2 linked regions of the Nothobranchius furzeri genome follow. The protein of the gene in region 2 binds, or shares a complex with, the protein of the main gene of each other region. Links are inferred from orthologs where the notes say so. Each region holds a gene or a part of one and is shown on either strand. Other genes may lie near its edges.

The links.
Region 1: the proteins of eif2b5 (region 2) and eif2b3 are in contact, whole or in part, in a cryo-EM structure (PDB 7VLK), measured with the Homo sapiens proteins. The link is inferred for Nothobranchius furzeri from reciprocal best matches to the Homo sapiens genes EIF2B5 and EIF2B3. Residues at the interface, in NP_003898.2 of Homo sapiens: Pro190, Val202, Arg222, Arg223, Phe224, Ala225, Phe226, Pro227, Leu228, Phe231, Gln232, Ser234, Ser235, Asp236, Gly237, Val238, Glu239, Val240, Arg241, Tyr242, Asp243; in NP_065098.1 of Homo sapiens: Arg155, Phe157, Glu178, Glu179, Leu180, Val181, Ile182, Lys183, Gly184, Leu187, Gln188, Pro191, Arg192, Ile193, Arg194, Phe195, His196, Thr197, Gly198.

The regions. Positions count from the first base shown.
Region 1 is NC_091751.1:54,335,129-54,339,419, reverse strand, and holds the start of eif2b3 (translation initiation factor eIF2B subunit gamma), read right to left. Parts: upstream 2,899-4,291; 5' UTR 2,604-2,898; intron 1,445-2,603; 5' UTR 1,440-1,444; coding exon 1,292-1,439; intron 1-1,291. UniProt on the Homo sapiens protein: Acts as a component of the translation initiation factor 2B (eIF2B) complex, which catalyzes the exchange of GDP for GTP on the eukaryotic initiation factor 2 (eIF2) complex gamma subunit.
Region 2 is NC_091751.1:63,542,465-63,546,959, forward strand, and holds the start of eif2b5 (translation initiation factor eIF2B subunit epsilon), read left to right. Parts: upstream 1-1,482; 5' UTR 1,483-1,694; coding exon 1,695-1,856; intron 1,857-2,073; coding exon 2,074-2,198; intron 2,199-2,280; coding exon 2,281-2,466; intron 2,467-2,537; coding exon 2,538-2,715; intron 2,716-2,797; coding exon 2,798-2,878; intron 2,879-2,954; coding exon 2,955-3,032; intron 3,033-3,114; coding exon 3,115-3,427; intron 3,428-3,532; coding exon 3,533-3,678; intron 3,679-3,772; coding exon 3,773-3,917; intron 3,918-3,990; coding exon 3,991-4,092; intron 4,093-4,169; coding exon 4,170-4,271; intron 4,272-4,400; coding exon 4,401-4,491; intron 4,492-4,495. UniProt on the Homo sapiens protein: Acts as a component of the translation initiation factor 2B (eIF2B) complex, which catalyzes the exchange of GDP for GTP on eukaryotic initiation factor 2 (eIF2) gamma subunit.

The sequences.
Region 1 (4,291 bases), about 9.2 Mb from region 2:
TAAATAAATAAATAAAAAATAAACATTACAGTAAACATTATCTGAGGAGCAGAAGGCATGCAACCTCAGACTTTGAGGGTCCTTCAGGTAATTCCATCGAGAGAATGCAATGCCGACTCTAGTTTTCTTGCGCTGCACTTTCCGGATCTGCTCTGGGTCCTACGCCTGCCAATGATGTCATCCCACTATGGCAATATCGCTTAGCCAAAATATATTGCATCTCTTTTCAATTCTGCTCTTTCACATATGTCTGGGAAAGAGTTTAGCAGTTTTGTTATTAAATCTGTTTCATACTACCATGTCCAGCCAATTATCTAGTGTGATGTCATCAACAGGCACAAGACCCCAAGACGGTCAAAAGGAAACATGGCGTCTAATATGGCACCCCCCAAATACGCCATGTACTTTAGTCTTGATGTTTTTGGTTATTTGTAACGAAGCTGCTAATGTTTTTCAACAACTGGACATCCTTTTATTCATTTTCAACAACATTTTGATGGATATTTCCAGAGATTAAAGGTAAAAACTACATTGTCTCATTAAAGTTAAGAAACTGGTGAATAGCATTATATTTACATTGTTGGTTCTTTTTTAAAACACAGAAAAGGTTTATTTTTTTTACCTTGCTGCTGACGCGTCCGCTCTGAGGAAGTTTGCAACCGCGAATAAAACTGTGAGCAGAAAGGTAAAAAATAAACCTTTTCTGTGTTTTAAAAAATAACCAACAATGCAGTTAGAAAAGCAACACAGCAAGCACATACCAAAGGACCATTATATTTGTTTTAATCCTTACTTGTGACTTAAACTGTGTGTCTATGTATTTATCTGTGAAAATAAGGCTAAAGCACAAAATTATGCGTAGACAAATACATAAAAGATGCTGTCCAAGTCCTTATGTCAAGTTTTTATTTTTATTTTCTATTTTAAGTTCCGGATTTCTCAAGTGAGTCACATAAACCTACAAGCTGTATTGTGCCTCTTTACATTTTATGTGGAAACCAAGAATGTGCTCCCCATAACTCTTCCAAATCCTGCCACTGAGACATGGATGGAGGGCACAAAGCTTACACGGAGCCCTCCCGCCATGAGATCTGATTGTTGAGAGGATGTTAGAAGGTAAATTACAGCGTAACTCGACATACAAGTCCATACAGTTTAAACGTTAGATGGCCCACATGTGTTTATGCTTATACTGCTGGATTTGACTTTTAATCATGTCGAAGGTGGGTTTGTTGTAGCTTATGTAGGGTATAAAAATGTTAATTATTATAATTAACGCTTGAGTTCTCACCTTCAAAGCCGACTCTCTCCAGCAGGTTCAAGGGATACCACATAAGTGGTTTGTTGCCAACAGGCAGCATAGGTTTAGGTGTGTTGTATGTTAGGTCAGTCATACGAGAACCTCCCCCAGCTGCCATCAACACCGCCTGAAGCTCCATGATGTCTGGAGAGAGAAACAGACTTTAAAAGAAAATAATAACAGTTTTTATCAAATGAACTGCCAAAACTAACATTAATGAACAGCTACTGGAAATCAAATCAATGCATGATGCCCTCACATCAGCGTATGTTCTTCTAGGTACACTTATTTGCTGCTTTAACTAAACTTTTGACACAATCCTGTTAAGGTCAAGTGCTCTGTGATGCTCACTAGCTGTATCAGATTGTCATCTTGTTGCAGAAATGCAGCACCAAACTTGCAAGAACTTTCTTCCCGGTTGCCTGCAGACAATCAAGTGTCCACACTGCAGGTTTTTGGCATAATCTTCTGAGATAATCTAGTAACTGTTGCCTTAATCAGAGCACCTACTTGGCTGCACCTAAGTTCTTATATTTTTGATAAGCTGTATGGGTTTGTCTGTATAATAACATGTTAAGAGCATTTCTTGTTAGACTAATTAAGAGAGTAGATATGTGTACCTAGGTCACACAGGTATTTAAAAGGTTTGTACAACTTTGAGCACATGACACTGCTGGACATCTTTAGAAATTTAAGAAGGTAGGCATGAGGCATCTTTCATCTGTTGGATATATATATATATTGTAGATTTATTTTCCTTACTCAAAGCTGTGAAGCTAATTTGAAATCAGTTTAAAAGATCTATTGAAATGAGTAAAGACTGATTATATGCATGTGTTGATTTTGTTTGAAATTCTGCCTAATTGTGTGCTAATTATGTTTAGGTTTAAAACATTAGATTGCAAACGTTTAATACCTTAATGAGAGGTTAAACGCGATATGAAAGATAATCTGTAATTATTTGTAAATGTACAGAAATATGAATCAATACATATATTGACAAAAGTAGTAAACGTTTTCTTATTTTTTACTAAAAACACATTCCTATAGTTTAACAGAATTTAACGTTTAGATTAGATTCATGACCTTGCTTGATTAGCGCAGCTTGAAATGCAGCAATAAGAACTGTGGGACAAGATGAGACGTGCCGGTGACTGAAAAAGCTCACTGAAAGGAAAAGTTATCGTCTCACATAAGGTTGAACAGGGCAAGAGCATCACAACATGCGGTTCAATTAAATAAATGCCAGTGACTTCAACTCGAGTAAAATGCCTGAACTCGAGAATGGTTAACATTTGCATACCTATCCTTAAATCCAGTTGCCTTTCGATGACAGAAGAAACAGACGCATGCAAGTTGTGATGAGTAGTTAGCACCTGGCTAACTATCGGTACACAGACGTAAACGATGCCGCTACTCAAATTAATGCTCAAAGTCAAACTCAGCTAGACAGCTCTTTTGGAAGCAAAACTTATCATATGATAAGCGTTGGTGAAAAAAATCAAAAAGCTTGCTGAAACACTGTACAAGAACAGCGTAAGCCAAGCTAACAGCTAGCAATAGTATGATGACATTGGGAGTGTTCAGTAAAATGTGCCCGTGAGGAAACTGATTCCTCGACATTTGTTCCTACAGAATATACCGGGTATTACCGCTGACGTGAATGTTATTACATGAAAGCATTATGGCTGTCTGTCTAATAATATGAATGTGTAGTTATTCAAAAAAACGGAAAGCACATGCACAGATTTCATTTATGAGAAAATTTAAAAACATTTTTTCTGAATAAGAGCTAAGATATAATCTAACTTTGTAATGATCTGAAGAAAGTGTGAAAATACAGATCTCTTTATTTATCAACACCGGTGATAATAAGTATTCAAAGATTGTTAATTGCAATATTTTCCTTATTTCTATTCAATGATACCCCCACCCTTTAAATTTTTGGTTTAAAACATTATATGAATGCATGTTACTTTTAAGCATGTTTAATGAATTTACTTTCACACAGACACCAAAATAGTGTGAGTATATTAGCAGCCAGAAGTCACACAGCCTCCAAACTTCAGGCCTGAAAACTCTCAATCCACAGAGCTGAGACGTAACAGAAAATTGAGCTCGGGGAATGTGGCTTTGGTTTTGTTTGTTCTGGCCAGGAGATGAGCTTGACTGCTCATTACTGCTTGCTCAAAACCAGGCAAGCAACAAGTGAGGAAAAAAAGACAAAGTACCGTAGCTTGAGTGAGCAACACCATAGAACGAAGAGTGCACACTGAATCCAGTACGCCGAATTTGGCAAAAGCCTGTTGGCTAATTGTGTAGGTGAACTGATTTATCTTTTTGCATCTTGTTTGCAGAGTATGCAGTAGGCTTTAGTATTATTGGGTTAAGTGAGGGCAGTAGAATCAGTGCATTGGGGAAAATGTATAGCTATCACAGATTAAGCTGTATGATAAAAGTCAGTTTTTATAAAGGAAAACGGAAAAAAGTGCACATTTTAATTTTTTTATTTTAAATAATAATACAATAATTTACAATAGTTTGAAATCTCACAAAAATGTACTGTGAACTGTAGGAAATCACAAACTCAGCATCAGCACTGTAATCCTTTTTAACAATAACTTACTTGTTAATTGCTGCCAGTTGATTACTGTGAGCTTCACAGTGTGTTCGTTACTGTGTACCTTCATAGTTATGAATGTAGACACATACAATTAAAACCTTTGTCTTTTTTAATGTCATGTCTGGATTGTTCAATCAATCAATCAATCAATCAAAGCTTTATTTATAAAGCGCCTTCCGCAACCCTGTCAGGAAGCCCAAAGCGCTGAACAATGTACAGTTGTATGTAAATATATTGAATAAATCAACAATAAAAGAAATTCAAATTACAAAATACAAATTACAAAATACAAAATGGAAATTACAAGATAGATGAAACATTCTGGTGAAGGACAAATGTGTGAAACACATTTGGATTGAGTGGATGGA
Region 2 (4,495 bases):
TTTAATGAGCCGAGTCTTTTCTGCCTGATTTCAGGACACATTTATCAGGTAAAGGAGAGTTTATCAAAGACTCCACAGGAGATGATTCCCTCTGTGTTTCCAAACACCTGAGGTACAGTTAACTTAAATGTTGTCATTAAAATGTAAGCAGTCAGATGAATGAGCTAAATGCGTCTGTTGTGGATTTAGGTTTACCAGGTGCTTTTCAAGCAGCGCTACACGGCGTCCTGACAGCCTCCCAGTTTGAGTCGGCCATCAGAGACACCATGAGCTGTGGGGGGTGCACCTGCAGCAGAGCATCCTTCATTGGAGCGTGTCTTGGAGCTCAGGTCTCACTGTTAATGTAACATCTCTAATGTCCTGAAACTATTCATGGGCTGTTTAATTAAATTTGCTTTTTTGATTCTAGGTTGGGATTGAGGGAATCCCGACGTCGTGGATGAGCAAAACCCTCAGATGCAAATCAGTCCTGGAGCATGCTGAGAAGATTACCAAACACCACCTGTAATCTGGAATATCATGAAGAACTGTTGAGCTTCTGCAGAGCTGCTTATGAGGGTTTCTGTCTAAACATGAGTGACAAAAGCCTGATGTTTTAGTCTCTGCTTGAGTTAAGCTAGTTACTTCGGATGTTCTTTGATTTGTTTAAAATGAGTCTGAAAATGTTTTGATTGAGAGCTTTATGACTGATATGTACTCATCACGCTGAAGATAAAACTGATTATGTTTAAGCATTTTCACTTTTGCTTCCTCTAAAATACAACAGGAATCACATCCATCAAATACGGAAAATGTACTCATCGCTTGCAACGAGGGAGAAAATATAATTTGAAGAATTCTATGTAAAAAATGTTTGGTTAAAATTTTTTTCTTCACAATTCATTGCTGTGCTTGGATCTTAAATTACAACGCTGCCATTAAAGAAACTTCAGATGTGCATTAGAACTAAACACTGTAGTTTTTGACTGGAGTTGGAGATTCTTCTCACTTCTTCCAATCACTGTTAATGTTAATGTGCAAATAAAGCTGAAGCTAATATTTAAATCCAGATTTCAAGTTTCTGCATTTAATTATGTGCATGCATTTGTATGACCACACCTGAGTAAAAGGGGAACTTGTAACATATTTGACATTAGGTGTACGTTTTTGTTTTATTCCCCAGAGGATCATTCATTCTGAATTAGAAACATGGATGGTGTGGTGCTGTGTTGTCTGGGATCATCAGAAACATCTGTTGTTGTTTGTGTTTAGCTTGAGCTACATGTGGGCTAGCTTTGTTAGAGGGTGGGTAACTTCTTAAAAGAAACGTCTGCCAAGTAGAACATGCGTCGTGATTTCATAAAATCTGTTTCAGAAGAAAAGTTAGTAACATAAATTCTGTTTTGTCTGGCTCTCATAAAGAGCCAACTTGATGTAGTGTGTTGATTTAGTATGTTTTTGTGGAGTGTGTATTTATTATTTGGACCAGGAAGACATGATGTCAAGTCTGGTTTCTTAGGCCTAATTTTTTTCTTAGTGTTCCTTGAAGACGACAAAAGGGTTTTAAATCATAAGAAAAATCGTCATTAGCGCAACTTTGATTTTTAGGTAAATACGAATAAAGTAATAAAGAATACATGTTTGCGCAAAAAATTGTCCCGTCACGACCACCGTAGTCCATTCTGACGACACACTTGTGCACCTCGGAGTCAAACATGGCTGGGAAAGGAGGAAAACAACAGAGTCGTTCAGGCTCCGGCATTTCGGGTAGGAAAGGTGCCGGGGAGCAGGAGGAGGAGGAGCAGCCGCTGCAGGCCGTCCTAGTCGCTGACAGCTTTAACCGAAAGTTTTTCCCGGTGACTAAGGACCAGCCACGGGTAAGCAGCGAGCTAAGCTAACATGCTAATGTTAGCTAAGTGATGTTCTGCTGTAAACAGACAGAGTTGCTATAAACTGATAGAAACTCGTTAATAAGCAATAAAAAATAGATACGTTTTAACTTTTTTTTTTTTAAATTGAAAACGTGTTAGAATTATTCCTAATCTCCCAGACAGACATAATGATACATTTTATTTACTGTCACTGTGATGTCAGGCTTTGCTCCCGCTGGGCAATGCTGCCATGATCGATTACACTCTGGAGTTCCTCACGTCCACCGGAGTGCAGGAAACATTTGTCTTCTGCTGCTGGATGGCCAGTAAAATCAAGGCGCATTTGTTGTGAGTGTTTGAGTGTGTGGGTGATTCAGTGCTTCCTGATTAATTTAAACTAAAGAGGTGGATCTGATGTTTCACCTGACAGGAACTCAAAGTGGTGTCGACCCAGTTCTCCAAACACGGTCCACATCATCACCTCAGAACTGTACCGCTCCCTCGGAGACGTGCTCAGGGATGTCGATGCAAAGTCTCTTGTGCGATCTGACTTTGTGTTGGTTTATGGAGATGTCATATCAAACATTGATGTCAGTCAGGCTCTGCAGGAGCACAGGTACAAGAGTCTCTTCTTTACTCATCAGTCTGTGGAGTTTATGCACTTAAACTGGGTTTCGCACACCTCAGGCACCGGCGAAAGATGGAGAAGATTATCTCCGTGATGACCATGATCTTTAAGGATTCATCTCCAGGTCACAGGTCACGCTGTGAGGAAGATGATGTTGTTGTAGCTGTGGACAGTAAGAGTCAGCAGATTTTACACTACCAGAAGACACAAGGGCTGAAGAAGCTGCAGTTTCCCATGGTAAGCTGCTGTTTCACTGGTAGATGATCAAACTTTTAGATTTGGTAGATCTCTAATAGATGCTTCTGTTGATGTTTTGCAGAACATTTTTCACAGCAGTAGTGATGAGTTTGAAATCAGACATGACCTTCTGGACTGCCACATCAGTATCTGCTCTCCACAGGTGAGGTTTAATACATATAAAATCCTGAATTGTATTATTGGCAACTTTAATAAAAATTTCTGCACATTTTTTCCAGGTCGCCGAGCTCTTCACAGATAACTTTGATTACCAAACTAGGGATGATTTTGTCAGAGGGCTATTGGTCAATGAAGAGGTGCCTCAGAGCTGTTTTTCCACATCACGCTGTGTTCTCCTTGTACCTTTTAGATGAGTTCTAATATATTTTCTCTGTTTAGATACTTGGTAATCAGATCCACATACACGCCACTCACGATGGCTACGGTGTTCGCGTGTCCAACTTACTCATGTACGATTCTGTGTCGTCTGACTTTGTGCGGCGATGGTTCTACCCCATCACGCCCGAGTCCAACTTCACGGATCAGGAGGGCCGCAGCTGCACGTACTCTCGCCACAATGTGTACCGCGGGTCCGGAGTCAGCCTGGGCCACGGCAGCCAGATGAAGGAGAACGTTCTCATTGGCTGCGACACTAGCATTGGCGCCAACTGCTGTCTCTCGAACAGCGTCATTGGGGACAACTGCACCATAGGTCAGCATAGTCTGGATTACACGAATAGAAACTGTCAGATAACGGGTGATTGTGCATCAGGTTACAGAAAAGTCCCTGATATCTTTTAATAATTTCTTTCAACAGGCGACAATGTAGTCCTGGACCACGCCTACATCTGGAATAATGTTCACATTGCCAGTAACGTTGAGATCAGGCAGTCTGTGGTCTGTGACAAGGCTGAGGTCAAAGAGGGCGTGACCCTAAACAAACAATGTGTCTTGGCTTATAATGTAAGCTACAAACACACCATCTGGGTACAAAAAGGCACCAAATGGTGGCGTCTCTAGGTTTTTGTGTGGTAATTAGACTTTGAACTGGTTTTAGGTGGTGATAGGACCAAACGTGTGTCTGTCTGAAGGAACCGTTGTGTCCATGCATCATCCCGAGGAGGAGCAGGAGGAAGATGCTGACGAGTTCCTCAGTGATGATGCTGAAGTTGGACACAGTAAAGACAAAAGCAAGCAGAAAGGTTTGAAATGACTCTGATTTGAATAACTAAAGTGAAATGTAGGAATACATCTGTACTTTCTTCTGTCTCCCAGTTTTCAACCCAGCTGAGGTTGGAGCAGAAGGGAGAGGTTACATCTGGAAGGCCAGCAGCCTGGATGACACGGAGGACGAGGAGCTGTCTCAGTGTCTCTGGGGTAGGAGACACATCCCATCATATAGACGCGTGAATCCCGACTCAGTTTAATTAATAATGTTTACTGGATACGACCAGGTTTGGTGTTGAACCCGGATCCGGAGAGCGACAGTGAGGACGGTGAGCCGGATGGCCCGGATGATCCGGTGAGCCTGTCTCCTGAGATGGACGACGTCAAAGGTGAGAAGCCATCTGGATGTTGACGTGTGTGACTGCCCACGGCTGGTTAAATTTCATATTTTCACATGTTTCAGTGAGCTCATAGAGGCCATTTAAAACTCAAAGCGCCTGAATGTTGCTGTTGTGCAGTCTTCCAGATGGAGGTGATCGGGACCTTGCAGAGAGGCTTGGAGGAGAACATCAGCTGTGACAATCTTGTGCTTGAAATAAATTCTCTGAAGTAG